Drosophila melanogaster: one gene and its partners. The protein of the gene in region 2 purifies or fractionates together with the protein of the main gene of each other region. This does not show direct contact. Each region holds a gene or a part of one and is shown on either strand. Other genes may lie near its edges. The genes, in order: na, unc80 and unc79.

Region 1 (10,801 bases), on a different chromosome or scaffold from region 2:
GACACAATCCTCCCGCCGCGAGATCGTTGGATCATTGCAGCGGGCCAAGCGACCGCCGTACAACTGGACACCGTAGCTGGCGAAGATGAACATTAGGAGAATGAGCAGCGTGGATACGAGCAGGATCTCCTTGAAGCCGCGGCACAACTCGTACACCACCTTTCGCATATGGGGCACCAGGGTGAAGATTCGCAGCGGTCGCACGCAGCGCAGGATCATCAGGAGCTGGGCCGCCGAGTTGGTTGGTATATTCAGGGGCATCCAGCACAAGAACGACGTGGACACCACATAGATGAACACATCCAGTGCGGCGGCCACATCCTTGATATAAGCCTTTGGCGTAAAGAAAAGGCCATCGGCCAGAATCTTCAGCGCCAGCTCTAGGCTCATGAAAATAACGAACCCGTACTCGGCGATCTGCAGCGTCGGATGATCCATCACCCGATAATTGGGTGTCTCAAACATCATCGAGATGCAGGAAAGCGTTGTCGCGAATATCATCACCCAGTCCAGATAGGTGACCAGACCGAGAAAGTTGCTGTAAAGGATTAAAGTTTATATGCTTGCAAGCAATGTTTAAATAAGTCAATCCTCCAATTCGGAGATGGGTGCTCCACTTACTGCAGGCTTTTATACTGGACCTTGCGCTCCTTGCCGGTCAGCGGATCCTTGAGTCGGGCATCGTAGCGGGCATGCACGATCTTTTGGCAAATCTTCCGGAAGCGACTCTCGCGCGGCACCAGAAAGAGCGGTGTATCGAAGAATGGATGATTCTCGCGCAGATCCTCCTCCCGTTGATTGCGCCGCATCTCCGCCTGCTGCCGCTTCGCCTGCAGCAACTTGATGTCCAGATCGTGGGGACGTGCACGTCCAGAATTGGCACGTGGCGCGGCAGCAATGTCACCATTCTCCATAAGATGCTCGTACGTTTGCTTCAGCTTGATGGAACCGGAGCGCACGCTGCGACGGATGGAGCGGGAGCCAAACCTGCGAATTGGTAGTGGACACACATCAAACGGGTCGCGCCGCCTCGGTGGGGCAGGGCCCAGCTACTCACTTCTTTTGGTCAACGCGCCACGGTTTCGAGTGTGTGATGGTACCCTGCGACTTCAATCCACCGCCGCCCTTCGTCCCAACCACGGGCAACATGGCCGAATCGCCCAGCATCAGGCGTTGGTTGTTGCTGTCACTACGGGATTAGAGAAATTGATGCCATTAGTTTGCAGGGATCTCATGGATCAGCTAAATATGTCAAATCTTACTTAATGATATGCGTGATGGCCAATTTGCGCAGACTACTCCCGGCGGCCCGGACTTTGGCCGTCTTGTTCATGATCCGGACGGGCTTCTGCTTGCGAAAGACCACATTAGACTCCCAGCACTCGGACATGGGTCGCTTGCAGTTCTCGACCAGCGAGTCCTCCGTCTCAAGCTCGATGACGAAGTGCTTCATAAAGCTCTCGCGCACTTTGGGCAGCATAAAATCATTGGGGATGCGATGCAAAATGGTCATCTGTGGTGAATCGGGAAACTTTTCGAAGATGCGCAGGCGAAAGGGCAGCGTCTCCTTGATTTCGGCGCTCTGTTCTCGGAACTTAAGCTGCTTGAGCTTCTTGATATCCTCGTCCAGTTCCAAATTGTCCAAAATGACCGCCACGAACAGACTGAGCACGATGAGGGTGACGAACAGATGGTATAGTATAAAATAGACGGCCACCAGCGGCGTGAGAGTTTTGCTCGTACGGATCATTGTCTCATCCATCACCTCAACCCAGGCCTCCTGGGTGAGAATCTGAAACATGCTCATGAAGGCTTCGGGGAAGGATTCGAACTTAGTGAAATCGCAGAGGAAGCAAAACAGCTGCATTGAGATGCTCGAGCTGATGATCAGCAGGCACATGGTGAAGATGATCAGTGAGCCGAGTTTCTTGCCCGGTCCGAAAATCTTGTAAACGAATCCCTCCAGCATCGGTGAGGCCTTGATCAGTCGCACCACCCGTAGCACCTGGAAATAGGTCAGCCCGGAGGGATAGAACATCGGTACGATGTGCAACGTAGTTCCGGCGGCCAGGAGCAGTTCGAACTTATGAATGGAATGCTTGTAGTATCCACGCCAGCCCAAGCAATAGATCTTGAAAAGGGTCTCCAGGTCCAGCAGGCAGGTGAAGACCAGCTCGATGTAGTAGTACCGCTCGTAGAACACATCCCTCGGTCGTCCATCGTGCTTGAAGGTCATTGTGGCCGTCACAATGCCATTGGCCAGGATAACGCTCATCACTAGCATGCGAAAGTATGGTGATCTCAGGATCGCATGACACGTTTCCGGCGCCAATCCGCCGTGCTTGTTGTCATCGATGGTCACTAGTCGCCAGCCGGTATCGTTGCCACTCAGGATCTGCGATGCGGCCGTCTTCTGGATGTGACCTCGCGCCCCCCACATCTGTTGGAACTGCACACGGATCTCGTTGAAGGTCTCCGTGATCACCGCTATGAACACGTTCTTCACCAGCCACGCCAGGAAGAAGATCATCGTGCTGAAGTAGAAGGCGGCACGCCATGCCGGCAGTGAATCGATGGCCCGGTACATGATGAACACCCAACCCTCCTGTGAGGCTGCCTGATAAACCGTAAAGATACTAGTCGCAATATCCTCGAAACCATTGAATCCGATCACATAGCTGCTCAGAAAGTCCATTTTCATGCAAACCATGCCCGGCGAGCACTGGTAACCGGAGTCGGGATCCATCGAGCAGAACGTATCCGGAATGGCCAGTGAATTGATGGTCAGAATTCTGAAAATGAATTCTTATTAATTAACTGACCATGTTCTATTGGGATTTAACTGGGTTCTAACATTTCTCATTTGAATTTCTGTTAACTTACGGTCTTTTGTATAGATCGTACTCCGTATTATTCATTACACAATGGTTTTTTAGTTCGCCAAAGAACTGAACTCCTAGCAAACCATATAGGGACATGAAGAACAGGAAGAACAGTGTCACATTGTAAATTTGCTGGCTCGAACGTCTGTAAATCAAAGTTGATGATATAGTATAGCTGATGATGTTGTTAAAGTTTACAAGATACATACTTGAAGATTTGATTAATACGACTTTTTGGCATACTGAATTTAAGGAAGACGCGTAGGAAGCGGATCATGATCAAGGGTCTTGGTGCTCTCATAATGGATAAATAGGAAAACCTATATATTATATATTATATTGTTAGAATCGAATTATTATAACTATGGGGCGTCCACTTACTTTGGTACTATCTCCAGCACTTCGAAGATTTGCAGAATGATCGAAATCCACAGGAAGCTGACCATGGAAGCATCGAATTGGCACCAGTGATCTTTTAAATAAGGCACCTCACCCTGCAAAAGAGTATCGATGAAGTAGATGGCATTTCTCTCAGTGCACCAGACTCACATGCAACACGCCACGGATGTGCATCTTGGCGATCATCTCGGCGGTGAAGAGCAGCGTAACAGCCGTGTCCGATGCAAAGGTGATGAACTGCAGCGACGGATAACGCTCGAAGGTCTTGGGCGTGTTCAGTGATACGGAGGTCAGTGAGACGAGGGCACACAGTCGCATTAGGCGGCGCACCCACAGCTTGTTCACCCACTCGATGTCGGCGCTCTCGTTGAGCGATTCCTCCGGTCCGTAATCCGCGAGGAAAGGTTCGCCGCCCTTGAGGCTCTGCTTCCGGCCCAGCATGATCTTGTTGCCAATTCCGGTGGCAATGCCCAGCCCAATGGGCGGCACTCCGGTGATGGCTGCACTGCCCACGGTGCTGCTAATGCCGCCACATATGCCCATGCCGGCGGCAGCTGCTCCGCCGCCCATGCCACCCATGCCGCCCAGTCCGCCGAGCAGATTGAGACCACCTCCGCCGCCACCAACGACCGGTCCCAGCCCGGCACCATTGTTGTGGCCACCGCCCGAAGATGGAGCCGCCGTCGCCGATGAGCCACCGCCTCCTCCGCCGGCCAACGACTGCTGCTGCTGTTGCGGCTGCATTCCGAAGGCGACGCTGCTGCCGCCGCCGCTGCCGCTACCGGAGTTCACAATGGTCGTCGGACTGTTGAGCGCACTGGCCGCATCCTGGCGAGCGCCCAGTCCCAGTCCGTTGCCAGGACTGCTACCCGGCGATGGATTGAAGCTAAACTGGCTGGCGGACGCCGGCTGCGAGTGTCGCAGGTGTGGATACGAATGCGGATGCCCGTGCGGATGTGGATGCGGATGGTGCGAGTGCGGCGGCGCGTGATGATGCGTATGCTGCTGATGGTGTGCGTAGTGATGCCCGTGATGGGACTGATGGTGTGGATGCTGCTGCTGTTGCTGCTGCTGCGGCGTCAAGCTGTTGCCGCTGGAGGAACTGGTGCTGGCCGTCGCCGGCGTGTTGATGCCGCTCGTGGAATACGGATGCGAATGGTGGTGGTGCTGGTGGTGGCCACCACTGCCGCTGGATCCGCTGGCCGCTGTTGCTGACGCTCCAGTGATCGGTCCTGTTCCCGCCGCTCCAGCCGCTCCCGGTACCGCCCCTGCTCCTCCTCCTCCTCCTCCTCCGCCGGCGCCGCCGCTGCCTACTGCTCCGCCTCCAGCTCCGCCTCCGCCTCCTGCGCGTTTGTTTCTAGCAGCTGCACCCAAGCGACGAATCTGTAGGCGGTCAATCATTCAAGCGGCGCATCCTGACCCTGAAACGGTCGCTAAGTTATGCCTGCTGTGTGGAGAGGGGGCATATTAGTTAGTTACTTGACTAGATCAGTTAGAAGTAAACTTAACCGCCAAACTGCTGTCATATTTCAACATTACTAAGATTATTCTTAAGTTTTGAAGGGTAAATATATTGAATTATAAATTACATGTACAATATATATTATGTTTCATGTTCTCTACGTATTAGTATTTAGCACCTCCATGTTTCCAAGGATGCCCTCCACCAACTAGGCGGCAATTAGAGCCAAGACCTTTGTCAATATTTACATTCGAACAGCTGCCAAGGTGGGCTGAAGGTGCAGCACTCAAACCCACTCACACAGGCACTGAGTGCACTGCGTAAAAAAAATATTTAAAATAGCTCAAAGTGTTATATTATAAAGTAATAAAATATATATGCAAATGAATCAATCAATAGACAGACATTTCAATTCATTAGTTGCATATCCTGTGATATGTAATTTATAATCTTTAGCCTGTTTTACCCAATTTTTCAAATCCACAGGCCAAGTTTATTGATCTGCTTTTGTTTTGAGTGTATCGTTTGCATCAACTTTTTGTATAGGAATTTCAACAAAGATCTTCGAGAGCAACCAAAATTTGTTTCTGTGTGAATCAAGACAGTCAGCTCGGATGGCGGATGGCACTTGCAACCCCCGAATGAGCAACCACTTCTCGCCGTATATGCGTAGATATGTGTACTATACGACCCAGTCCCATCCCCACTGGCGAATCCATTGTCATTACCAAAGGAGCAGTAACCAAAAGCAGCCATGCCCACTCCAATTCAAAGCGAATTCAGTGGGCAAAACTCAAATCAGTACGATTTGTGTAAAGGTATTTTGCCTTTTTTTTTACCTTGTCTCTTTAACTAACACATTATCTACACATAGCCTACTCACTTTTCGCCTGATGGAGCGGCTGCTGGTGGATGGTTAACTTTTGATGGCGAAGATTCGCGCAATTTTTATCACAGAGTCCACATAAATGGATTGCACTGGGGAGACTATTGAAATCTAAGAATATATCCGGTTGCCGCACTTTCCGGTTTTCCAAATCTGTGCGGGAAGGAAAACGCGTTTTTTTTTCTTTCAACACCAAACACGCGCCGAGGTCCTCGTAAAAGAGTCCTTTTTCTTTGTTTTTTTTTTTTTTCTTGTATGTTTTTTTTTCGGACGCGGAGACTTGGAGTTACGGCCACTCAGTCTGTTTAGTCAGGCAGTGCTCCAGTCAGCCAACTGAACTGACAGCTCCACTGGGCCGTCACTTTGAATGGCTCTGGTTCCAAGTCGAGCAACCCCCAAAAATGGACGACGCCTGCGCACTTTCGCGGGTCGATTCGGTTACCAGTGTCGGAGTGGCAACTCCGCGCGGAGTGGCCAACAAGCGACCACGGCGATTTCAACAAATCCGAGCAGCAATCGCATCGAAATGGGTGCCACGGCCTCGTGCAAGAAAACCTCCGGCAGTGGCTATCCGGAGCACGATGATCCCAGCTATCGCAAGTGCCAGGAGCTCAAGGTGAGTCCACCGCTTTATATAATCCCCAAAACCCCGCATGACCAAAGCGACCGCACTCAGATGGAGCGCTGGATCCAGATGCACTACCAGATCAAGCAGCGGGAACAGGCACTGGCCATTGCCCACCATCGGGAGCTCTTCTACTGGCTGAGCGGATTCTACCTGAGTGCTGTGTACGGCTGCGCCAGTTACTACCAGAGGGTCAGGAGGGTATCCGCGCTGGCTCCGCTCCTGCCGCTCACCTTCGTCGTGGGTTACTATACGGACTGGGCGTACGGCAGCAAGATGCATCGCATTCAAGGTGGGTCTGGGATAGGATTGTTTGATTAAGTGCCATTAGAAGGATGATATCTTATACAAACCTATCCGATGATTACATCAATTGTAGCGGAGGCGAACATGATTATGGAACACGAGCAGGAGCTGCTCCACTGGCCAGGTGGTCTGCCCACTGTTGCCGGAATCGATGAGGCCCGCGTGGAGACCGAAATGGAGAAGAAAATGCATCCGCACCACATGTAGAGGCAAAAGGATGCCCCTCTCCCGGTTAGCCTGTAGGTGGGATTGGGTTCTCGTGCTCAGGTCCTCGTTCAAAAACACACACACACTCCACAATCAACAGGATTTGTCCCAGAGTTTCAGAAATTTGTAAGACCCCTTAGCTAGAATTTAATATATATTTTTTTTTTTTTGGCATTAACAGTGCTGTTGAATGCTGAAATGTGGGGACCATTCAATTACACTTCACAACACTCAACAGCATTCTAATTACGTTTCACAGCCCATTAAGCAACATTTTAAAATTTCTTACAACGAATATACATACAAATATCATTCATTACACACATCTAAATCCAATTTATGCGAAAATGTTCAGCATTTTTAAATTGAAATCACACGTTAGATAAAGGCTGCCAGAAAATTTATTTGAAACTAATAGAAATAATTGTAACTAGCAAGAAGGCATCATCATATCATATCCTGTTCCAAAGGAGCACTACTTTCACCAAGTTTAACATTTTTTGCACAGAACCCCAGCCAGCCTACAGCGCCAGATAGCTCAAATATAGGCCTATATATATATATATAAATTTATATTATATATATTTATATTCAGAAGTCCTCCATAATGACCATTTACTTAGCCGCAGTTTACTCGCTCTTTCTAAACTCTATCTATCTGTGTGTGACGCGCTTTACTTTTCCAGCAATTTTTTGAGACAATACTCCTTATATTGGATAGTTAAAATGATTGATATATATATATATATAGTATATATACATACATACACTTATGTACACTTGATAAAAATTGTAGTCTAGAATATCTAATAAATGTTTTGCTCCCAGCTCAAAAGGCCACATCATCGCAGTCGAGCAGTCCGTGCTCAATGAAATTGCGCGACTCCTTTTTGTAGTGGCGATCGCAGAACTCGGCAATCCTGGAGCACGCCTCCTCGATCATTGCCCCGGGCACAGTAAGTACGATCCGCACGTATCCCGGGTACTCAAAGCAGCTGCCCGGCAGACAGAAGACACTCTGCTCATTCACCATCTCCTGGACAAAGTGGGTGTCGTCCTTGAATTCCGGGAAGCGTTCGATGCTCACGCCTATCATCATGTACATGGCTCCATTGGGCATTACGGGATCGAGGCCACGCACCTGTTTCAGCATCTTGTAGGCCAGCATGGCATTCGACTGTGGGATAAAAATAATCATATAATAATTATCCATTAAGCTGATAATTACAAATGATAAACTTACGTGGAGCACATCAATCACGCCGTCAAAATAAGACTGCGGTGTCTTGGTCAGGATATCGGGCAGGGCACCCTGAATGATGGTATTGGAGCCCAGAATGCGACCACACATGTTCTTTAGACCGACAATGGCATCGCGCAAACGATTCTTGCGATCGTGCACTATGATCCAACCCATTCGCCAACCGGGAACCAGGAAGCGTTTGGTCAACCCGCCACAGGAGAGAACTGGAACCTCCGTGGTCAGGCTGCTCACGGCCAAGTGCTTGGAGCCGGGGAACACAAAGTGCTCATAGATCTGCAACGAAAGCAAAGGCAATTCAATTCAATTATTTCATGTGTGCTCGATTTAAGGGTCACTCACCTCATCGGCAATGATGGGCAGATAGTGGCGTTCGCAGATGGCTATCAACTCGCGCAGATGCTTCTCATCGAAGACGCTGCCACAGGGATTGCTCGGATTGTTGATCAAAAGGGCGGCGGTGTTCTCATCGATCAGGCTCTCTAGCTGAACGAGATCGGCGCGCCACTGCTGATCGGGCAGAAGATCGTAGTAGCGCACCTCGATATCCAAGCCCTGGGCCAGCGTATAGTACAAACAGAAACCCGGTCGCGGCACCAGAACATTCTGACCACGATCCGCCAGCGCCAGGATGCAGTACTCCAAGGCGGAGGAGCAGCCGCTGCACAGCACCACCTCGTTGGCATCGATCTCTCCGTCGGGACGCTGGTGGGCACTGTATTTGGCCACCGCTTTGCGGGCTATCTCGTGACCCTGGGTGCTGGCATACCCATTGTACTTGCCGCTCTCCAGGGAATGCAGCACCGCCTTCATTGTCTCATCGGCGGCTTTTAGATTGCCAAAGGTTGTGGGATCACCTGGTTGAGAAAAGCAAGTTTCAAAATGCATTTAAAATATATAATCTATAATATAAAATAACCTTTAAGCTAATAAAATAATACAGAAAATATTCCATCAGTGAATTGCCTAATTTATGGAATAAAGTGCATTTATTTTTGGAAACGGAATGCAAAATGGTGTTAAAAAAATAAAAATCAGGCGACTTCGCATCCGAATCTCTGATTGCATTGGGTCAATGGCTAACTCGTTCGTTTCCGGCTAACTTCGATTCCCGATTCCGATGGCTAAGCAAGCAGCAGCAGTATAATCTGGCTCAGATCCCGAGTTCGATTCCATTCCATTCGATTCGATTCGATTCGAATGGATTCTCGACTTTGTCAAACAGGTGGAACTACATTTTATGCAAATGCCCCACAAAACACAAATACAGTGCGCGTGCCTCGCTACAAAAATAATACGATATTACTAAAAACAAAACAAAAAAAAAACAATTAAATTATATACAAGAACAAGAACAACAACAATCGAAACAACAACAGCTTTACAGATTTTATATATCTGGTATCTGGCATATTTTAGCACAAATTTAGAAACTCGCGACAATCGGCAAAATTAGCTTCTCTGTAAATTTCCTAAGCCAGAAAGCCAGTAAGCCCGAATTCCCATTGAGCTCTAACATTTCAGGGAAGTCCAATGTCCCAACTTATATAACGACTTATAAGCATTATAGCCGAAGCACCGATCTCTGATTGGCCCGATTTTGTGGGTGTGTATGACCAATGGATCGCTTTAGTTCACAATGAAACCGAATTCATTGGGTTCATAAAGCTAGTTTTATCAAGTTTGGGACAACTCAGCTGCCAAAAATAAAAAAAAAACTAAGATATAAATATATATATATATATATTTATAAAACGGCAAGAGCAAAAGAGATCGCACATCAGAAATATTCAAATTTGGCCCAAAAACTTGTAGCAAAAACGTCAGAGGTGTTATGGGGATATGGTGAAATGAGGAGCAGGTTTCCCACGAAACTGGATAGTTAGCACTACCTGCTCAAATATTTTTCTATAATTTGCAAATTTTGGATATTTCAAATCATTGCTTTTAGCCACTATTAAAGGCGTACTTTTCAGATTAATGCATATATAGTAAATAGAAGGCGAAATCCTGATAATGTAAATATACATTATACATACATGCTAAATGCATAGCATACTTCTGAGAATTCTGAAGAGGAAAAGCTTTTAAGATAGATTTTTCAAACACATATGTAAGTTCTGCGTCAAAGGAAATTCAAGAATCAGTAATTTGCAGACAAACTAATAATAATTTATAAGGTTTATATAAAAAGCCCTATAAGTTTTAAGAACTTGAAAGTTTAAGATGTCAACTTTAAATATCTAAAATGAATCTATACAAGAAATATACTAAGTACCATATTTTAAAAGAAAACTGATTATATACGTACAGTTTTTAGAACTTTTACTCTTTAGATATATATTAGTTAATTTATATATTTATGGTGCTCACCAATGGACAGCGGTATCATGGGCTTCTCCGGATTCGGTTTGATCTTTAGCGACTCGACAATGTTCCGAATGCGATTGTGCGTGTTAAGGGATAGCTTGGAGCCCTTTATCTCCCATCCGGAACGCTTTCGGCTGCTGCTGCTCGTGGCTGTGGTGTCCACCAGGTCCTGTTGCTTGCGTATGTCCTGCGATTGGAGCTGCAGCTCGGCCAGCGCCTGATCGACTACATCGCAATTGGGCGTCACCGGCGCCGGGGATTCCGGCTCGCTGGGACTCCGGCTTGTGCAGCTGGCACGATTGCGGCTGCTCTGGTATCGGAACTGACTCTCGTTGGCAAAACTGCTGGGCATTATCACCAGGCCGGCCCTTTTCCCGATTCAACGAAAGAAAATCGAATAGCC
Region 2 (10,744 bases):
CATCAATATATATGATTGGAGTACATAAAGAGCTCAGTATCGTCAACCCACCATCATTGCATCCGTGTGGACACCCCAAGACCTGCAGAGCTCTCCTCGTAATACTCATCGAGATCTCGTGGGCATGCTCACCCAGTTTGAGCACACCCATTTCAATCAGCAACTCGCAGATGTTCAGACCCGCTTCCAAGACTCGGAGTGAGCAAACCTGTGCCGGATCCCGCTTGAAAACATTGCTAATGGCCAGCAGGATAATCTCGTAGTCAATGCCGCCATCGCGTGTTATATAAAAGGAGGAGCCCGGCGCCTCCGACTCATCCACGCCCGTGTAATCGATGTGGGAGTCCGTGTGGGAGCGCAGCATTTGACCACGGTAACGGGTGGTGGAGCTGCCCATGCCAGTGCTACCATTACCACCTCCGTTTCCAGTCATACCAGCAATACTGCCGCCATTACTCAAGGCATCCAGCTGGGAGTCGATGGAGCCCTGTAGGAAAATTATTCGGTTTTTAGTCGTACTTCATTATCATATCTTGAGTGGGAACTCATTTTGCGAAGGACAAACTTTGTAGACCAAGTCGTAATCATAACAATGATAATGGCTCACCTGACGCTTCATGTAATCGGGCGAAGGTGTGGGCGTGTGCTCCGTAACCGTAATGATGGGATTCCGGGGATAGAAGGCCGTGGAACGCGGACAGGTGGCCTGCGATGGCCTTGGGGCCTTGGGTGGCTCAACGTATCTGTAAAATCTTGTATTTTGTAGGATACGTGCGAGAAAGCGTGTGTGTGGCATTAGTCAAAAAACGGCGTGCGGCAAGCTGTGGATTCATGGGTTATGGGGGGGGAGGGGGGTTTAGCCAGGTAAGAGCGGGGGGGTAAAAGGTGAGAAAAAAACAGGCTTGGACAGGCGCCAAAGGTTTAGCATACAAGAGGTGCTGAAAAGGGGGATAACCATCGTGGGCTTAGAGCACATAAAGCATAGAGTGTGGTTCTTGGAAATCGAAATACAAATCATTTGTCAGTTAGCTTGGTAGACCGAAACTCACCCGCTATCAAGCAGACAGCTGGTTGTTCATCGGAGAAAGTAGTACAAGGCATAGGTTATAGAAGATATAGCATTAGCATATAGCTCGAAAGCAAAGAATGAGTCTCTGAAGAGTGTGGAATTTCGAGAATCGTTTGGAAGTGTCACCTGTATATGGTATATATGGTGTATATGGCATATGTGTTCTTGGTACTGGTGTCAGAGGCCCGATTGAGAGTCAGTCGTATTCTTTGGATTTTGGCTAGCTCGGGGATTTAGATTTACCTGAGACTGGGCATAGATTTGCCCTTTATCAAGTTACTGGCTGGTTCGCGACTTATCATCGAGGCTGACCGAGATAGTTTCTTCTCACCCGTGTCCAGGCTGCGATGGTATTCCTATATGATATGATAGAACAATATTACTATCGATCAATATGAACATGCATTACATTTAGATAACATTAAACTCTCAAGCCAAACAAACACCATTTAGAATGTAACATTTATATGGGGATTATAAGCGGGCGCCAGGCAGAAACACTTAAGAACATTAAACATAGGTTTTTGCTCCGCTTACTGCATGTTGCAGTGGTGTCTTGCCATTGGCTGAGTTTGTGTCGAGCCCTACTTTTTCCAAATTCTTCTCCGACTTCGAGAACATCTTTGTTTCCACGAAAGCCCGAAGATCTGCCATCTTAACGCGTTTCTTCTTCTCACTGCCGCGTCTTTCCGTTGTGCTTGGCGCACTTTGAGGTTCTTCTAAAGATTTGGATAAAAGTTGAAATCAGAATGGGTAATGGAACCGGCAGAGCCTATAACACACCTGCTACACAGGCTGTCACCGTGGGCGATGGATCGGGTATTTCGATGTAATCCTTAACCACGGAACTGCCTGGACTATCCCGACTATTGCTGCCGGGTCCCTGGTACAGTGAAATCTCGATTTGCGGTATGGGCAAGGAATTCGAGCGCTTGCGAGGTTGATTCAAGGTGATGGCCGCCTCCTCACCAATGTCACTGAGTCTGAAATAGAAATGGCAATAAGGTCCGTTTTTTTAGTTAGTAATTTGAAGATCCTACCGATTGTATAGATACTGCAGGCTCCAGAAGATGCCCTCCTCCTGCCAATGGGAGATGAAGAGGCAGCGCAGCACAGCCACGTCCAGGAAAGTGGCTGCGGATACATCCGCCTTGATACTTTCCGACTTATCCGAGTCCGTCTCCTTTTCGATGGATGCACTCCGTTTCTCCTTCATAGATGCACCTCGCATCAGTTCCTGCTGATCGAACTCGAACTTGGTGGAGGGCACTTTATCCTTGTCCCGGGAGTTCATTGACTGGCGACTTCCTCGACGACTCTGGGATTGTTGCTGTTGCAACAGACTGGCATCGGCCTAATTGAGAAGATACTTTGGTGGTTTCTTACGGACATAGTTTAGGAACTAACCGTAAAGAATGAGTTATCCATTAGTTGTGGCGCCGAAGGTAACCTAAATATGACCACACGTTCATCCTCCACGCTGGAGGCTTCTTCTGGTATGGTTTCGGGAAAGGCGAACTCCTTGGGCGAAGAAACCCAGGAACCCTAGATCAAAGCAAAGTTAAAAATCAATCAATTTCTTTAGATTGGGTGCAAACAAACCTCCTCGTCCTGCCTTCCATAGTCTGAGATACCGCTCTGTGGCGAATCTGCCTTGGGTGACATGGCGTCCGCACTGAGTGAGTGCTTTCGGGCGGGAAAAACGTCCGTGGAACCTTTCGGAGTGGGTGCACACAGCAAGTTTCGAGCCTTGGGCTTAACGGGAGCTGTAAAGCATGGAGCTCCGGGTGCTCGATTGTCCCACATTCCCTGCCAGAGCTTAATGCCATTCTCCAGGCGAAAGTTTTGGAAATCCGATTCCTTTAGGTGGTGTATAATAGGTGCAAATAGGTACACAAAGAGCTGAAAGGGAGTGGTATTAAATAGGTATGTCTATATTAACTTGGTTTTAACATACCGTAATAGTTGGTACTGAAAACAAGTACTGATCAATGGACTTCGACTTTGGTTCCGCCGCATCTCCCAAGCCCAGATCCTCGCCGCCTTCATCATCGGCACATTCCTCGGCGGCGTACAGCAGGATCCACTGCATGGTGTATAGCAGCTTGGTCTCCACAGGACCAATGGCCTGCATATCCTTGACGCGATTGTAGAGCAGAGCGGCACAGGCGTGCATAACATGTGGCAGAGCTCCTTGCAAGAGGCGCCATCGGGGAATCACACCCAAGCCCTTCGTGAGAGGTGGTGACAGGCCGAACTGGATGTTCTGCACAAGCACTTTCTCAAAGGACTACAAAGCGGAGCTCATCAATATTAGACTAGAAACCTATTTAATCTTGCACTCACCTTGCAGGCTTCCTTTGACTCCTGAACATCGTAAGAATATGGTAAGAAATTGTTTAATTTATAATAAAACGTTTAAAGTAGATATGGTTTAAAGCTACCAAGATTACAGCAAAATAAAGGGGTCTTCAGACAAAAAATCAATCTTAAACATAGGCACATAAAACATTTAACATATACAATATAAAGGGAATCAAATTAAGCTTTTAACCTCAATATTACACATATATTCGTAATATGATTCTGGTTAAACATTGAGCCAACAAGCTTTGGAAAAATAAGGGGGTTATCGCTACTACAAACATTTATAACTTACATGGTGTCCCGGTGCATGTTGACAAAACTACATTCAGATTCAGACAAATTGCGAAAGATTTTACAATGTTAATTTGTACAGTTTGTCATTGTAGTTGTGATTTTAGTTGGGTTGTGTATAAAGCATACTGAATGTACTACACACAGGCGCAGGAAAAGTTTCCAAGCCTACATTAAGCTAGGCAAAAAGTGAAGCATACTTTTATGGGTGGGCAATAAAACTATGTTCTTATCGGTATGAAACTTTTCCTGGTAGCCTGGTGTAAATGGAAGACAGGTCTGTTGTTCAGTTTGTGAAGGAAGGTGGCCGTGTTAGTAGTTGTTAAAGAAAAATATAAATCGAATGCATAAAAGTATATAAAACATCAAACATCAAAGTTAGGTCTCAAATTTAGCTTCCGATTTTCCATGATTTTGGCAGAGTGAAATCAAAAGTAGAAGACATTGAACACAATTTCTGGGCTTCAATACGACGAATTGCTTGCGCCAATCTGAATGCCAATCGTTTTGGGTTTCGGTATGTTACACAGTCCATCCTTACAACAAACACGCATAGCGAATATACAGCACCCATTTGTGTGGGGGAAAAATGGTTCCTCACTTCTTGGCCATCTTAGCTCTTTTCGTTTTCTATCTTTGGCAATTGACTTAAATGCTGTTGGCATTTCACTGGCCAAACTCACCAGACAGGTAGACTCGTGCAGCTTGCCCAGCTTGGGCCGGATAAAGGGCGCTATTTGCCGCCATAGGAATGTTTGCACGGACACCGGCAAGCCGAGGTCCTGCAGTCCACTATCCTGGTCAAAGTCAAAGTCATCGTTGTTGTTGTTCGCCCCATGGCTGTTGTTGTTCGTCTGCAGGTTGTTGTTGTTGGTCGTGTTGCTTGTTGCTCCTCCCGTTGCGGCTGTCCCCGCGGCATTGGTCACCATGGTGGCCAGCTGGAATGGCACAAGGACACAAATCAAATGGCGTGCAACAGCTGGCTGAGCCGAGCCATTCATAAAACCAAGACGGGTTGGGGCATTAGCATATGTGCAACAGGTGTTTGCGTGCGCAGGCCCAACACGCTGCTCCTGTTGATTTCCAATTTGTTTTTCCCAGCGACTAGGTCAGTGCCATCATGGCACTCCCCCGCTGCCGAAAAAACCTACCAAGATTTCGGTCCTGGGACGCTGCGCAGAACGCAGACTCCGCATCAGCGGCGAGAACGAGGCGACTGGGTTATAGATACAGAACTGGGTTTCTGGTATACATGCTAATTTGGGGCAAAAATTTTCACAGACTTATATAACTCGAGCTGGGATTGTGGAAAATTTCACTTTTCCGCAATTAATCGCCGGTGGAACGATCAATTGTTTGGCACTTAGCACACACTCAAATCAAACGTGGCCAACGATTCGCTTGATTGGTGCCGCACCCAGTGGAAATGGCTTCACTTCAACCAACTGGGCTGGGCTCCTTGGACAGTCGTCACTAATTGCAGAACCTTTCATGGGCTGGCGACCGAACAGGGACACTGAAGCACTTTTTGTTTGATTTCAATTTGTGTATTTTTCCGTTTTTGCCCTTTTTTCTGTTGTCTAACGAGTAGTTTTTTTTTTTTTTTTTTAGTTCTGCAAGGGCTTACCTTGATTTGCGCGTTGCCAGTTTCGGATAACGTTTACGGCTGAAGCGTTCGGATGCAACTGAGACAAGCGTCGTTAACTGACGAGCTCTGAGCTCCCCGTCGTTGTTATCCTCTCAGCCGGCCGCGTCCTCCGTTTGCCATCGTTTCCAATGCCGACAGCAGCAGGCCAGCAGTGCGTATACAGGATATTTTGCCGAGAAACACACACAAACGCAGAGAGTCGTACAACCACCCGCACTCAGTATTAAGTATACGCACTGAATGGACGGGAAAAAAGGCTGCTCTCCGTGTAAGGGGTGTCCTTGCACTTGTTATGGCATGCCATAACACACTCTCCCATCGGGACACCCTGTTTGCGAAGCACACTTATCAATGATAACAAATGCCTGAGGATGGGCATTGCGTATACGCCGTGGGGTGGCCATTAGTACTCCTTTGTCTACGAGTCTTTGGGACTGCGACTGCGAATAAATAGTGTAGTATTAAAGTAGTAATGGCCAAAAATAAGTCACTGTCCCTTTCGGACTTGAGTGGAAATTAAATCCATAGCCTTTGTTCATTAATTAATCTTCTAGCTGATTAAGCACGCTTTATCCTTGCTAAGTTCTTGCCAAGTTCTTTCTGTATCTTATTTTAAGATAAGCATTTGAGATATATTTTAAATAACTTGATTACCAGCACAAAAAGCCCTTAGTGTAAATGTTGTTTACAGAAATGAGTTCTATAAATACAAGCACACAATTTCAGTCTCAAGGGGCTATTTATCAATGACTTGCGCACATTAATCTGCGCAGATTCGTGGCAACAATCGGCTGCTGATAGCAGATGTTCAATCAAGGACCAAATCGGCCTAAATACTCATGCACCAGTTACCCGCTTGACAACAGGTGGTGCCCCAAGGAGTAAACAATAACAAGGCCAGGGAGGCTGCGCGGCCAAAAGCCGAGCCGAGGACTCAATGGATTGAGAGATAGGACGAGACAGGACAGCCCAGAGAGTGGGTCTGATGAGCATCAGCCGGAAGTTGGGCACACAGCTGGGCTCAAAACTGGGTCAAAGAAGGACCTGTCCGATGGCACGAACATGGACGTGTGTACATCTACATTTACATAGAAAGTCAAGGACATGGGTGCATGGAAATGGATGTGCCGGCAAAGCCAATGGCCTGCTTGGCTTAATTGCCACTTCCTTGCCAGATTTGCCGCCTTTTAAGCACCTCGCTTACCCTTCAGGCTTGATCGGTCATTATATACCTACCACCCACCATTTGCCTATGCAAACAATTCGAGCATTTAGTTGTTGCTGTACATTTTTGCTCTGAATACGCTTCATGTATCTGTGTCATAGTTTTTATAAATAGCACGCATTAAAATGTTGTACAGGCGGCACACACAAGGCACAAGAAGGCGCCTGAGGGGCCAGTAATGCGCCTTCTATGTAGATGAGATGCCAACGAGGAATAGTATGCTTTTGGAGCATGTATAGTGTATAAATATTGAAAAAGGCTGGTGTTCAGGTGTTCTGGCAGCGGACAAACAAGAAATCGGCCATTTAACACCCCCACATACGACCGGCTGACAAAACATTTCGAATGATAACAGGCAAGACCTGAGAAATACGTACGTTTGCCAAAAAGACGATCAGGGTCGATGAGTGTATAAATATATACATGTATAGGCCACATTTATAGTACATAGCCCCATAGCCCCATCTAAACATCTAAACATACCCCGTAAAACCCCAGCATGGAAGCTCAATCTATTGCGCAGCGCTAAACAATCAATTCTCAAACCCATTCTCCTCCCGCCTGAATGAGAAAATATTATATTATCTGCAAAATCATCTGTAACATCGAATGATATTCAACACTATCCGGCTGGGAATGCCACAAGCGATTATTATTTTGCCTTCACGAACGAAATAAAAAGAAATATTCACAGAATAGCCGAAAAAAAACAAAATGCTTAAAAATAGCCCGGCTAGAGAGCGGACAACAAATGGCTCTGGCTCCATAGGAGAGCCTCCCAATATCTGGTGGTCGTTGGGATCCATGGGATCCCAAAAGAGAGTGGCATTCGAAAAAGTTCCCCCAAGATGAAAGTAAATTCTTGCCATCGCACATACTACAGCATATATTTTGGTGTGTGTATAGCCTTGCGCAGGAAAAGAGCGAGCGTTTCGTCATCCATTCGTATTCGTATTCGTTTTTGAATTCGTTTTCGAAGCTATAGCTGTAAATGTATCTGTATCTGTGTCTGAGTGCTCGGCGATCGGCTGGTTGGCTTTCACCTCAGAATTACCTTGCCGTACTGCCACTGACGAATAACGTTCAGTCGAGACCGAGCTCATCCGCGATACAGTTGATTTTCGCATCAAACAGACAAAATGGTGAGTGCCCAGTCGGCCAAGGAGTCTTCACACATCTTCCACCAATATCCAGTGATATAGATGTACATAAATATATGCAGCAGCTGAAAACTGAAGATTTTCCACACTCGAACTAATGCCAAACTCTCAAATCTTTTTCGATTCCGTTGACAGGCTGATGTTCCAAAGCGTGAAGTTGAAAGTAAGTTAAAACCCCGCACGAAAAGGATTATCTTTAACCTCAAACGAAATCCATCAAAGTTAAACCAACATATTAAATGAACGAGGTAACGGAAAACCCAGCAGAAAGGACTAAAAACAAGTATTATAATATCCATAAAAATACAGATTACATAATGTGCGCGTGTGAGATACACAACAAAAAGTACACAAAAGTCGGTGAACATATTTCGTAATCACTTGGAATATATCGCATACATATACGCATGCCTATATATATAACACTATGCGGAAAATTTTCATTAAGGAATGCTGTCGTCTATATGCATCGCCTGAGCTATTTTCATCGATCGACCATCCAAAACCAGAACGGATAAAGGTTGCCAACACAATTCCGGTAGAGAAAATCTAGTGCAAAGTTAAGTTTGATTTGCGTTATAGAAAAGCCGCGGAAAACAATGAAAATCGTGTGTGTATATGTCGCGAACCCGAACGCGCGATCCTCGTCTTCGAGCCGAAATGCTTCTCGTTTAGAGATCTAATTTTGGCCAAGTTATTTCTTTAGATTTATTTTCGATCAAACGCACAGCGAAAGAGATGAGCAAACTATGCGACTTTGTGTGTGTATATACGCCTATATACTGTGTATATAGCGCAGACGAGGGCGAAGGCGTTCGGTTCGGGTGTCGGATTACGTATACGTAGTGTGTTCTCGGGGCTGGCAACTCTCCCAGATCCGCACTCACGCATACACTCACACACTAAGTAGGCAATGCCCAGCAGCCATGTCAAGATTTTCATGATGACCAAAAATGTGCGTACCAGAAATTTCAGGGTTACCACATCGACCCCGTTTTCGAAAATAAAAAGGGTGGTCAACACCCACCTCTGCTAAAGTATTTTTAAAAACAATTAATGAGGCAGCATAATAAAATGAAACGAATAAAAACAAAAATTTGATGGGATTTACGTTTGATCGACTAACATGAACATGAAGATGTAAATGCTAATCGAGTTCCTTTTGCGCAGATGTCGAATTCGTTTTCGAAGTCATGGGCTCCCCCGGTGAGGGCATTGATGCCGTCGACCTAGGTGATGCCCTCCGCGCTCTGAACTTGAACCCCACCTTGGCGCTGATCGAGAAATTGGGCGGCACCAAGAAGCGCAACGAGAAGAAGATCAAGCTGGATGAGTTCCTGCCCATCTACTCACAGGTCAAGAAGGAGAAGGAGCAGGGCTGCTACGAGGACTTCATTGAGTGCTTGAAGCTCTACGACAAGGAGGAGAACGGCACCATGCTGCTGGCTGAGCTGCAGCACGCCCTGCTGGCGCTTGGTGAGTAATCAACATGCATATATCCTGGGATATCCCTCTAAATCATTGTGTGCATTACAGGTGAGAGCTTGGATGACGAGCAGGTGGAGACCCTGTTCGCTGACTGCATGGATCCCGAGGATGATGAAGGATTTATCCCCTACTCTCGTAAGTATTCGTTCAATGGACGATACTCATCTAATGTTTTTTGTGCATATACGATTTGTAAACGCCGTTTGTCTATTCCACATGTCACTCTTTGTCTGCGCACAAACCAAAAAAATCCCCACCATTCTGCACTGTGCACTTTGTACCACCAACTCGACCTGAAAAACACCAACAAACCTAAAAATATGTGTATGCGTGTATCCATGTTTGCGTGTCCATTCCTCCAACACTACACTCGCAAAAAAAAAAAAAAACCGACCAACTCCCGAATGTCAAACGTATGGTCTCTGCACGGTGATTGCGTCTTGTTTACCCGCCGTTTGTCGCCGATCCACTTGAAATTGAATGAAAACAGAGTTCGTCCAGCGCCTGATGAGCGATCCTGTCGTCTTCGACTAAACAGTAAGTAGGGATGGAGCCCATGGCCACTTCGCCGATCTCTGGATGTCTACTTGTCCAACAAATTTGGGGAATACCTTGCTAATATGGCCCTTTTCTTCGTCTACTCCACAGCATTCCTCGCCAGAATGTGTGACAGACCAGATCAGCTAAAATAGTTGAAAACAACAGCTTCAACAACAACCAACAAACAACAACAACAACAACAACAACACCAACAAACTTTTAGCGACAACCATTCTCCATAGATGTTATATTCATCGCTAACTCTCTCTATCTCTCTCGTATATTATTTTAATTAAAAATTACTTCTGCTACTACAACTGCAAAATTGAACTTCAAGATAATATTATTTTTTAAAAAATAAAAAAATTTAAATTATAAAATAACGAAAACAAAAAAACTGAAAAATATTCAAAGTTTTGTGCACATTATTTTGTTATGAATTATTTTGTTGGTTCAGCCAAAAGCAAAGCAATAGTTAATGATTATTTTATATGAGACGTGAATAAACCAAATAGCAAATAATATAATGTTTAGGCAAATTCAACATCCGAAAGCGTCCAAAAAGGGCAGTTAGCAAAACGCCAAATGTGTAAATTGTGGCCTTTTTGCGTTCTCAATTTACCAAGTGAATGTGTGAAAGTGAAATAAGTCAAATGTATTTAAATAAACACTAAGAATAATTGTGCGGCCGATGAGGTGTTGCACAATCAATATAAAAGAAGATCAGGGTGGTGGAAAATTTGGGATTATGCTATATAGGCAGCCAATATTAATACAAGATGTGGCTGACTTGTTTAATAAACTAAAAGTAATAGAGAAAGTTTAAAAATCTTATACTGAATCCACAAAGAAATATCTAGATATTTTCGCCGCAGACTGCAATACTTCAGCTGAGACACAAACCACCAACGAGAAGCAGGCGAAAGACTAAAATACCGTGTACTAAAATGTCGTTT
Region 3 (10,921 bases), 8.4 Mb from region 2:
TAAAATATATATGTATATATATGGGGTGTTTCAAAATACCTACAATCAACGCATAATATTTTAAGTTACATTTCTTATTCTTATTCTTTTGTTTTTTTTTTTTTCTTTCTTTCTTTTGTTTTATTTCGTTTGTAGTGTGTAAGAAACTTTAAATTCGAGTATGGTGGTCGTCAATTAAGGAGTGACAACTGAAGAACATAATGTGTACGGTTGGCATTGCTTATGATCGAAATACATACGGAACAGACGTGGGGCATGTGGACGAGCACTCCGCCAACGGAGTGCGGTTCTGGTTGGGGCACGGCCACTGGCACAGGACCTTTTTCAAAGAGAAGTATAAATGGGGATTAGAATCAGATCGGTACAGATTGTAAGGCGAGTCCAGCTAAAAATGAAATTCGCTTAGTGGTCATACAACATACAACTGTTTGGCATTCACAAATCAACCATGCATACGTATAGAAATCCTACAAGTGTCATTCGGATAGTTAGAAAATAAGTGTATCGATGAAAGAATCTCATGCAGGGTTTTTTTTTTTTGAGCAAGTGATGTACATTACTGCCAATCGTGTCGGGTACTACGCGTGGATTATTCGTATCCGGTTTTGAAATATATTCAGAACCAACGGAAGGATTTAAACTAGGCACTCGTACTGCCAACCGAAAATCAAAGATAGTGTAAAATTCGTGTGGCTTCAGTGCATCTGTGGTGTTGGATTAAAAACTCGCAGTTTGTGTTTCATTTTTGGGAGGAACACTATAGCCGAACCGAAAGGATATCGATCGATCGATTGTTGCATAACAGAACTGAACTCTCTAGGGGCGGGCGGTCAATCTACGGAGGTCAACTAGATATAATTAAAGCTTGGATATTCTAAATCATATACTCTAGTAACGCTAAACAGAGATAGAGAGAGTGGTGTGGCGTGTGTTTGTGGAGACAAAGTTAAGTTGGTTAGAGTGATCGAGCGGAACTATTGTTGTCTTTTTCTGTTGGTTGGTTTGTTTGAGTGAAGTAACGAAATGTTTCAACAAATGCTTCATAATGTAATGTAAATTTGTTATTTGTATTTTTGATTTTTGTTTTTTTTTTTTTTTTTGTAACGAATGAAAAATTTTCTTGTGGTGCATCACCTGCCATTATAATAATTTTTCCATCGTCTGAAAAGAATTGATCTAGCTTAAAGATATCTGATAATGATTGATAGATTTTAAATTTAGTACGGTATTAGTTTTGTAGTATTTCATGAGTAGATATTAGTTGTAGATTATTTTTGGGCATAGACGAGAAGTTTTGGAGTGTGAGAGAGACAGACAGTTTCGTACGCGCGGAAGAGGGTGCGATCGAGCGAGAGAGAGAGAGATAGCGTTAGTTATGTTATTTTTGTACAGGCAGACGCGGAGTAGAATATGTTAGAGATAGAGAGAGAGAAACAAATATACATATTTATGTAGAGAGAGATAGCAAGATAGACAAATAGTTATGGCTTAAAAGATAATGTACGGATGAGATCGGGATGACGGTAATGTAATTTCACGAATGATCGTTTAGATGGCTGTTAATTCATACTGCTGAGATTGTTTGATTTAGTCTGAGGATTGTTTATTTGGGTCAAGTTGGTAGTTGTTTACAAGGCATAGCAGTGCAGGTTTCTAGTTGTAGGTTGAAACAAAGTTCGGTTTGCGTTTTAACGTGGGTTTTAGGCTAAGTTAGGTTGTTTATAGGGACGCTCGACGGGCGAGTCGCCATTCCATACCATTCACCCAAAAAATTGTATAATATTTTATATAGACCAGGCTCAAGTACTGTCTACATTTAGCTACTTTTTGGTGACGTTTCACTGCTTTACTGTTACGGTGGTTAGTTTATTTATAAGTGGGTAGGTTTTGGGTTGGTTTTGGAAAAGAAACTTTGTTGGGACTTTATAGACTTTATGATACAACGGGGGTTCGTTTAAGGGTCTTGAAGTAAAGGGGGAAATGCGTTGAAAAGCCTGGAGCGTACCTGCAAATCCTCCTAAAGGTCCCAGCGGAATGGGTAGTGGAGCCATCGAGAGGGAAACATCTCGATCACGGGTCTTTTCCTTGTCGGATTCGGGTGGAGATTTGCGCGAGGACTTTTCTTCCTCAATGATGTCCTCGATGGGAACCTGGAAGATCACTCATAAGAAGGTTAAGCTTCTAGTTAAGACGACGATTTACATCTGGTGGCCGGACTGGATTCAATGGGGCCATGAACTGGACCAACTTGGTAGCTAGCTGATGCCACATGATGGATGCCTCGCAGTAAGCACACTCTGCCACCTAATAAATTGATTTATTCGTTAAATTTTATGGGATTAATTGAGTTAAAACACGATTTACTCACCTTTAAGGCGCAGACATGACTACTGAGACCCACTCGAGCTGCAGTGACCATGCACTTGATCAGCCTGGAGACGTTCTCGCAGACACTCGTATGGATGCCCATGTGCTGCTCCACGTCCTGTAGTTCCATTTGCTTCAGAAGTATGTCCAGCATGAGGATGCAACAGGTGAGATTGTGCTCAGCATCCGTGGAGAATTCCGTGTGACGATTCGTGGGCGCCTCGTCATCCGAAATGGCAGACGTATTACCAGAGTCATCCTCGACAACAGGAGCTATTGAAAGAATGTATTATACTTAGTGATAAAATGTTAGTGGAAGGCATATTCACAAATAGAGCTACGCCTGGGCGGATTGGCCATATCCGCTTTGGTCTCCTTGCTCTCTTTACACGGGGTCTTGGGAGCCTTGGCCAGGGACTGAGATTGGGCATCCTTCTCGCGCATCAGCTCGTGCTGGATGCCGTATTTCATTATGCGAACACCATCGCCGAACATGGCGAACAACTGGACCAGTGGAATGAGAATCTCCAGCTTGGTGAGGATCTGCAGCCAGTGGAGTGCCTGCTGCTGCACCTTTGCCGTTGTCTTCTCAAATCGAATGGCCACAAAGTTGTACATGGTTTTGGCATCAAAGCCCAGAGGCGACATTTCCGGATCGAGGATCTTGCTGAGCACAATCTTCAGCTCGTTCAGTTCCTTCTCGGCCACGTCGTTGGTGATGGCCTCCATCCAGTGCGGCATCACATAGTCCCAAATTTCGGAAGTGATAACCTCATATGGCACCAGGCATATAAGCCGCTGAAGACCCTCTTTCAAGTGGCTTGTTCGCGACGCCAAGGTCTCCCAGTGGCCTCCAACACGGGCATACTCCGGGGGATGTGGCAGCAGGCAGGATATGAAAACGTTGTAGTGTATGCGGCAGATGTCTTTCAGCCAGTTGCAAACGTGATCCACTTTGAGCTTCTCAATGGTACTTTCCACTTGTCCGGCAGCTGAAAACAAATGTTGATGGTTGATGGTAAAAATAATTCATCTTAACATACCATCGTATGAGTAAGCGGTTACATGAAACCAGTGGAAGAGCATGCTCAGAATCCTGCCCAGAACTTCTACGGGAGTATCTGCAGTGGGTGTACAGCGACCCACCAGTAGCCAGATACCATAGCGTCCCAGTCTCTGGCGTTCCTCCAGAGAAATATTGTCAGCTGTGATGCCGGAGCCGTTCTTTTTGGACTCGGACGACGAGGACTCCTTGCCGGGCTCAAAGTTTAGTGGCTTCGCCTCTCGCAGAAGGCTTACCACCGACTCCACCATGTGCATCTGCATCTCTGGATCCATCTGCCAGGCGGGCTGCAGACTGCGATGGACCACGTGATCGCCACCTCGCCGGGAATTGTGCCTATTACTGTGGCACTGGCTGCAGTAGCGGATCGGATGGTTGCCATTGAAGCTGGCACACTCCGTGGAGAAGCAGATGGAGAAGGCGGACTTCTCGTTGGAGCGACAGTTCTTGTTTTCGCACACCATCGATACCTGCTGCATGGGATGCAGAATGTCGCCGAACTCCAGGCTTCCGTGCTCCCGATGAATCTCGTTGGCGCACTCGATGCACAGGTAAAGGGGCGGTGGACAATCGGGCGCGTATGCGATGCTAATGCTGTGGTCGTAGCACACCTTTGCTGCCTCCGCATTCCCGGAGTTCGGACAGTGCTCCCGTTGGCAGGTGAAGGGCACTAGGTCATCTATTCGGGATTAGAAGGATGAGGTAAGATAATAGGAGTAATCATATGAAATAAACTCACTGGTTAGTTTGGAGAGTAGGACTTTGCGATCGAACAGATTGGCGTTAAAGGCTGGCCAGTAGTAGAAGAGCAGCTTGGCAGCCGAGGTGCGGGAAACAGCGGTTCCGTATGCCACAACGCAGAGGATGTCCTTGACGACATTGTGCTTAAGAGTCATCAGGCACTCCAGGAGCTGGCAATGATGCGCTGGATTGTTGGAGTACTGGAGCACCATCATGATGACCGAGGACACTGATTGGCAGGCCTGACATTCCTGTTCGTCGGAGCTGCGACGAGCTAAAGATTGAAAATTAAAAATTATCAAATAGTTTCTTTAAACTAGGGAAGTAGTCACTACTCACTTATAGTAAAAGGCAAGATATAGTAGCATAGAGCATTGATGATGCATTGGTGCAACGCTGGTGGTAGTACTGATATAGTAGAGCTTACAAGATAGGGTAGATTATCGATAAGATCTTTGTCCAGAAAGGGAAGGATGCAGCTTAGGCACTGCAATAGAGCTTTTCCGAACACTGAAAATAAAATTAATTAGAATATTATGAGCATTAAGATGTCTTAAGCTCACCGATTTGGCCGTACTGGATGCAAGGTGCCACATCGATGAGCATTGTAAGAGCATTGTAGAGGTTGCCATATTCGAGATTGGGATAGGCAGACATGCGAGTGGGATCTTCAAGAGGATCGCGGATAAGCTCGTGCGGCGAAGTGCGCACATCCTTAAGGACAGCTGTAAATTTAAAGATATTTCCAATAAATTGGTGGCTTAGAAAATGCTAACAAGGCCAAAATAATAGGTAATAATACTATCAAGAGTTGGGACTGAGATAATTACATAGGTTACTCTAACCTCTATAGATACTTACTTAGTAGAGTTTGAGAAAAGTATTTGATATTGTTAGCAATATCGACGCCAGAGGGCGCAGGCAAGACGTTGTGCAGTAGACGAACGTGGTATTCATGAAGGGCTCTCAGTTTTGCCTGAACTGAAAGCAGAAAAAAAGGTCCTTTGAGCACCCTAGAAAGTTGAGACTTCTGTGGACAAACTTACAGGCGGCAGCGCGAGTGCCCATGTTGATGAGTTGCACCTTAAAGCTGCCAGTCATTATATCAGACAAATCCTTCGCATTGCCGAAACTGCTGCCGAGGGACTTCGCATTCTGCAATTAGGCAAAAAAGGATTGCATTTTGAAAACATTTAACATTTCACGCCCAGAATTGCGTAATGTATCGCCCAGAAAGATGCTGCCAGTGAAAAAGTGCTCAAGCGCACGAAATTTCATAGAAAACTCTGAATTTTCATACAATCCGGTTGCGAAACGAACTTAAGTTAATATTTTTGGTCAACTTACCTCGAAATTGGTTAGTTTTTTCAATAGATTTGCAATTTTTTACGGGTTTTACAGCAAGCTACGACCACGAAGAAAAATCTCTATAACTAAACTGAGTTTATGGTGTGTATCTGTGCAAGAATTTCGCTATCTGTTGGACGCCCCTTGACCCCCTCCTTACCAATTTGGCTTTTATACAGGCTTATACATACACTTTATCAAGCGGTTTAAGCTAGAATATATTTCAAATATATTTAATTATTAAATAGGCTATGTGATTTAGTATTTTTTGGCTTAAATGTAAGGGAATTTGAGGGAATTGAAGTTGTAGGGTAAGTTGACCCACTTTTACCACCCACCCTCGACAGCAGCCCCCAGAAACAGCTGTTCGGAAGTAGGACATGCGCATATCGCGTGTTTATCTCGCATTTGCCGCACTCACCGGTCGGCTTTCAACAAGTGCTTGTTTTGGTCTAGCCAATGTAAATATTTACTATTTTCAGTCGGGTCCGGAGTTTGCGCAGATTGTGCTCAATGTTGGTAAACATCGCCCAGCTGTTTATCCTGATATGCAACTGGTGTGTTTCAGATTTTCCAAAGTACTGACACGAGATAAGAAAACTACTCATTCTTGAGATATATCTATATCTACCTCTTTGGAACTGAGCCAAGAAATTTGCACTGGTATACTGATACTGAAATAAAGTTTAAAATAAAACTTTCTGCACCCTTATTCCTTAATAGCACACCTTCCAACAATTAAATACTCATTACGTGATTTAGTTAGCCAACTTTTGGGGGTGGCTCATCTTTAGGGCTTCCCTCGAAAGTGAAAACCTCAAATAATTCTCGGGCTTGTCTGGCTCATGCGGCACCTTTTAACCCCACTGTTTGCAACGCAAAACATGAAACTCGTTTAGGTAATCAAAACCCCCCAGTGAAGACGTTTTAACAACCGATTTAACTGAACTCTGTGACCCCTTAGACGAACAAAAACGGATGGATTTACCACAAAGGATGACATGACAACATACTGGGGTCTTGTATGTGTTTATTTCGTGAGCTCGGAATTATCATTTGTGGAATCAAAGCGAAAATGTTTGTTCTTGTATGTATGTCAGTTAGCAGGGATGTGTTTGAAGAGTATATATTGTGTAAGGTTGAATCAGCTCCCTAACTGATTTCTAAACCTTTGCCTCGAGATCGGTAGAGATACTAGACATCGGGTTTGATTAGTGTTAGTTGAAGACGGCTAAATGGAAGCCGCATTCTCGTGATCATTGGTAGACAGCTGGCCGCCCTCTAAGGCACTGACAATCTCCTGACCGGATGCCTTGCTGGCAACACTTTTGTTGGGCTTCGGGTTGGGTGGCTCCGGATCTGTGCCACGTTCCATTTCATCGTGCTCATCCTTGACTGTCGGCTGAGGATCGGTATCGGGATCTTGGCTTACTGGTTGCAGTTCATGGACTTCTTCAGACTCGTTATCCTCTTTATTGGCATTGGTCTGCCCTAAAGCTGCGTTTTGGCGCTGGCTCTTCTGCCGGTTGAACAGTATCTTCCAGTAGGATGAAATGGATGTCTTAATCGTGGGCTTTGCATTCGGCAACGGCTTATCCTGCTCCACGGGTTCGACCACCGAGCTCGAAGGATCTTGAACATCTGGCAAGTGGGGTTTATGATTATTCAAGAAGAGCTCCTTTTAATTGTAAGTCATTAGGCAATCATTTTTTTTTCAACAAATCATATTTAATACCAGTCAAAAGAGCTTACCCTTATTGGCTCCCTTCATCCGGGTAAAGAAGCGACTTATAGTGTTTGACTTTCCCAGGTCCTTGTTGTCCTGGGAGGATGTCTCGTCGTCATCCTCCACTTGGTCGCGCATCATTGGCTTCTTGCTGATCTTAAAGAAGCGCTTCAAGGAATTGGACTTTGGAGCGGGGGCCACCTCGGGACCTTCCACAGACAGGCCCTCGGGGTCGGCAAGCGGAATATCTTGCAGACTGGACATCTTCGTCCAATATGTCCACCGAAATTTTATCGAATTTTATTTACAATAAAATATGGCTCGGTTTTGTACGAAATATAAGATTAATGTGACTGGTGTTGTTGAATTGAACACCAGATGCAAAGTGTCAGAAAATCCAGAGTCAACTAGTTCTTGTCACCTTTTATGAAAAGTAGAATTCAGTTAAGTGAGTTTAAAAAGGATTTTACAGCCTTATAAGTTTGAGATTGGTACTTTACATATATATTGTAATTTTAACAACTCATGTAGATAAAAACAATATCAATTTCGATTTCTGCTGCCACGTTTTTTTGCATTTTCCTTGGCAATTTGGCTACGTTTGGTTAACATGTGTTAACAACGACATCGAAACAGGTTTCAAATTGATACGACTTTGATTTCATTTTCTCCCGCAATCGAACTGTTTCCCGGCCAGGACAAAGCCAAACTGGACTGAAGCCTGCAGCCCCAGAAAAAAGAGCTGAAATGAAAGCCAAAGGCAATTCATTCAATACGTGCACACAATACCCCTTGTTATGCTACTGCTGCTGCTGCCCCATTGTCTCAAATGTTCGAACTTCGAAGTCCGTCGTCCGTTGTCCGCCGTCCGCTGTCCAGTTAGTGCTGCAGTGTTCCGTTTCTGAGATGGGGCCCACCAACAAAGTGCTTTCGCAAAATCAATTGAAGAGCTGGTGGCGATTCCTGCTGTCGACACTGCGCCATCCCTACGTCTCTGGCCCGATCCCTTTCCGTGGTCCTGGTCCTGGAATCGAGGTCCGTTAATTTATGTAGTTATGTATTGCCGGTTGGTTGGCCAGGATACCCGAAACAATGGACAATTGCTGCGGCACTTGCAGCATGCTATTGTCTGGCGAAGGTGTTGAAATTCTGAAAAACAGATATACATTATCGTACCAATTTGAAAGCCATTAAAATTCATCAATTACTTACTATAAGAGTGCAATACCGTGCATCAGAAGAAGACCAACGAATGGTGAATGAAAACAACGTTTAAAACATTATACATGTATCTTGTTTAACGGTAGTAGATACTTCATATGTTTGCCCTTTAATTTGGCAGTTTTCATAACCCTTGAAGTGATTGCTCGTGTCCTTCATTTATTTATGTCCAACCCCCGATCTTTGATAAAAAGTTAATGAAAAAACCCCACGCCGCCAACAACAAAGGGACATCAATAAATCATCAGTAATAAAAGTATAAGGGAAATGAACAAGGATAATGCAAGGCAATCCTTTTGCCCGCCGCCAACAGCTGCTCACCCACTCCGCTGAAAAGTGTGAAAATGTCAGCGGCGACGGGGAGCTAACCCCAACTGCACCACCTCCCCCTCCGGCTATTATGCTCGCCCATTTGTAGAGTGGGCGCCATATAATGGCCAAAACGGAAATGTTGTTTGCAGCCAATTCATTGCCAACACACAGTTGCGAAACGGCAAATAACAAACAACAAACAGCATAAACACCCCCTGCAGGCTTACGCAGGAGCAACACCATCGCGCTGGATGGGAGTTGGTGGCGGCGCAGGGATCCAACTGTGGTGCAGTGTTGCGGTGGGGCAGTGGGAACAATGGCATCAGCAGCGGCAGAAACAGCAGAAGCTGCAACTGCAGACCGCAAAATGTGTTGCCACAACCCTCGGGGCAAACGAAGCTGGAGCAGGAGCCGCATCTCTTGGACCGGAGTTGTAGATGGAAACTCATAAGTTGGTCGTCTGGCAGACAAATCCTCGGAGCAAGTGCATTCATTCATTGGCAATAACAATCAAACTGCTGTTGGCAGTACACAATCCCTTTCCCTGCCCATCTCTGGATGCCATTCAACTTGTTTGCCCTGCTGCTGTTGCTGTTGTCGGCAGCACAAGCGAAAGCAACAACAACATGCTACATGCAACAGCAACAGCTATGGCAACCACAACGACGACGCCGTGCTGTTGACTTTAATATTTCGGTCTTCTTCGTTTATTACAATCCCACCGAAAGATCAAATAGTCTGAAATTCGACACAGATACCGGGAAATATCAGCTCTATGTGGGAAAGGTAAACCTTAACCAGTCACTCTTGGGAATCCGATAAAGGGGCCATAAATAGTACTATTTTCCCCCCTCCCCTACCATCAGGTTCTCAAGTTCAATTTGGCACTGCCGTTCGCCTTTATAGATTTACAATATTTACATAGTTGCATCGGAGTAGATAACACGGCGATAAAGAGTTCAATCGCATCGGTCTATTGGCCTGTGCGACGTCGCTTGGTGTTCAATCGCCGTTTGACTCTCGGTTTTTAAATAAATAATATTGTGTTATCATAGCAATAATCCATATCTGAGCGTATGTGCGTTTGTGTAATCATTGATTAAATAGTTTCTCGTTTACGATCTCACACTTTCACTTTATCGAACGCGCAGTGAAATGTGACTCAATCGGCGGTATCTTATTTGCGCGGAGTTAATCCTTCATTACATCTGGTCCTTGGGCGAGAGAATCTCCTCCAGACCAGTCACAACGTGGCCATGAAGTCCATCAATAATACAAGTGGCCATAAATCGGCGCCACTCCTCTCCTTCGAAATTGGTTAGATATCGACTGATGGCTATCAAGGGCGCCAGCGGCGACACAGAATGTCAACAGTTTAATAAATAAAATCAGTCAGCACCACCAGCCAGATGGGTTGCCAGCTCAGGCGCGCGACTGCAATTAAAGCAAAATAAAAAAAAAGACAGACAAAAAATGCCATCGAAAAGGGGCAAAGTCAAAGCCCAAGTGCGGCAAATGCCGTCTCGGATCACTCACATGTTGCTGCTGCTGCTGCTGCTGCCGCTGATGTTGCATGTGCCGTCGTGTGCGACAGGAGCTGATTGTCGCTGGTCCCAGATCGGAATCAGAATCAACGTCGGCATCGAAATCAGCGTCGACACATGCAATATTTGAGTCTCGACTGAGAATTATGATCGATTTATTATGCGACAACCAACGACGGCAGCAACAGCAGCAGCAGCATCAGCATCAACAACAGCAACATGGCCAAGTGGCTGTGACAGGTTTGGGCTCTTCGTCTCGGGTTCTTGGCCCACAGAATATGCGCAAGACATTGATTTTCGCCAGGTAATGAGGCAACTCATTAATCATTTTTTCGTTGCGCACTGGCTGGGGGATTATGTTGCTGTTGCAACAAGCACACCGCCAACTGGCAACCGGCAACCGGCAACGAGCAACGTGCAACAGTTGCTGCTGCCTCTGACGGAATGCTGGCAACATGTTGAGCGTGCAGCTGCAGCAGCAGCAGCAGCCGCTGCAGCCGCTTCTCCTTGCATCCTGGCTGGCTGTCTCCTCTTGTTCTCTGCTTGATTTTGTTAACCTTTTGACCATTTGAAGTTATTTTTGTATGCTTTACTGCCAAT

Evidence for each region.
Region 1: the proteins of unc80 (region 2) and na purify together in Drosophila melanogaster (affinity purification with western blotting, with the first as the bait; one study listed by BioGRID). This does not show direct contact.
Region 3: the proteins of unc80 (region 2) and unc79 purify together in Drosophila melanogaster (affinity purification with western blotting, with the first as the bait; one study listed by BioGRID). This does not show direct contact.

What each region holds. Positions count from the first base shown.
Region 1 is NC_004354.4:14,261,534-14,272,334, reverse strand, and holds the start of na (narrow abdomen), read right to left. Parts: upstream 5,969-10,801; 5' UTR 5,627-5,968; intron 4,729-5,626; 5' UTR 4,683-4,728; coding exon 3,432-4,682; intron 3,377-3,431; coding exon 3,264-3,376; intron 3,203-3,263; coding exon 3,092-3,202; intron 3,028-3,091; coding exon 2,884-3,027; intron 2,793-2,883; coding exon 1,263-2,792; intron 1,190-1,262; coding exon 1,058-1,189; intron 988-1,057; coding exon 622-987; intron 539-621; coding exon 1-538. Other genes in the region: CG13404 (uncharacterized protein), read left to right, coding at 6,156-6,245, 6,306-6,546, 6,634-6,767; Tat (tyrosine aminotransferase), read right to left, coding at 7,597-7,944, 8,011-8,304, 8,371-8,885, 10,402-10,750.
Region 2 is NT_033777.3:27,657,108-27,667,851, reverse strand, and holds the start of unc80 (uncoordinated 80), read right to left. Parts: upstream 5,414-10,744; 5' UTR 5,355-5,413; intron 4,666-5,354; 5' UTR 4,657-4,665; coding exon 4,411-4,656; intron 3,756-4,410; coding exon 3,729-3,755; intron 3,437-3,728; coding exon 3,416-3,436; intron 3,360-3,415; coding exon 3,027-3,359; intron 2,972-3,026; coding exon 2,672-2,971; intron 2,615-2,671; coding exon 2,477-2,614; intron 2,424-2,476; coding exon 2,110-2,423; intron 2,053-2,109; coding exon 1,853-2,052; intron 1,789-1,852; coding exon 1,607-1,788; intron 1,426-1,606; coding exon 1,313-1,425; intron 1,068-1,312; coding exon 1,050-1,067; intron 753-1,049; coding exon 608-752; intron 488-607; coding exon 52-487; intron 1-51. Other genes in the region: Mlc1 (myosin alkali light chain 1), read left to right, coding at 7,740-7,742, 7,896-7,923, 8,931-9,236, 9,297-9,383, 9,739-9,782. UniProt on the Drosophila melanogaster protein: Component of the na (narrow abdomen) sodium channel complex. In the circadian clock neurons it functions with na and unc79 to promote circadian rhythmicity.
Region 3 is NT_033777.3:19,240,520-19,251,440, forward strand, and holds the start of unc79 (uncoordinated 79), read right to left. Parts: upstream 5,612-10,921; 5' UTR 5,519-5,611; intron 5,327-5,518; 5' UTR 5,273-5,326; coding exon 5,218-5,272; intron 5,153-5,217; coding exon 5,033-5,152; intron 4,897-5,032; coding exon 4,735-4,896; intron 4,682-4,734; coding exon 4,511-4,681; intron 4,446-4,510; coding exon 4,170-4,445; intron 4,110-4,169; coding exon 3,411-4,109; intron 3,360-3,410; coding exon 2,697-3,359; intron 2,641-2,696; coding exon 2,369-2,640; intron 2,305-2,368; coding exon 2,203-2,304; intron 2,151-2,202; coding exon 2,006-2,150; coding exon of another isoform or gene 1,839-2,005; exon of another isoform or gene 1,192-1,838; coding exon 1,135-1,191; exon of another isoform or gene 1,101-1,134; intron 320-1,100; coding exon 240-319; intron 1-239. Other genes in the region: CG5217 (uncharacterized protein), read right to left, coding at 6,750-7,159, 7,271-7,508.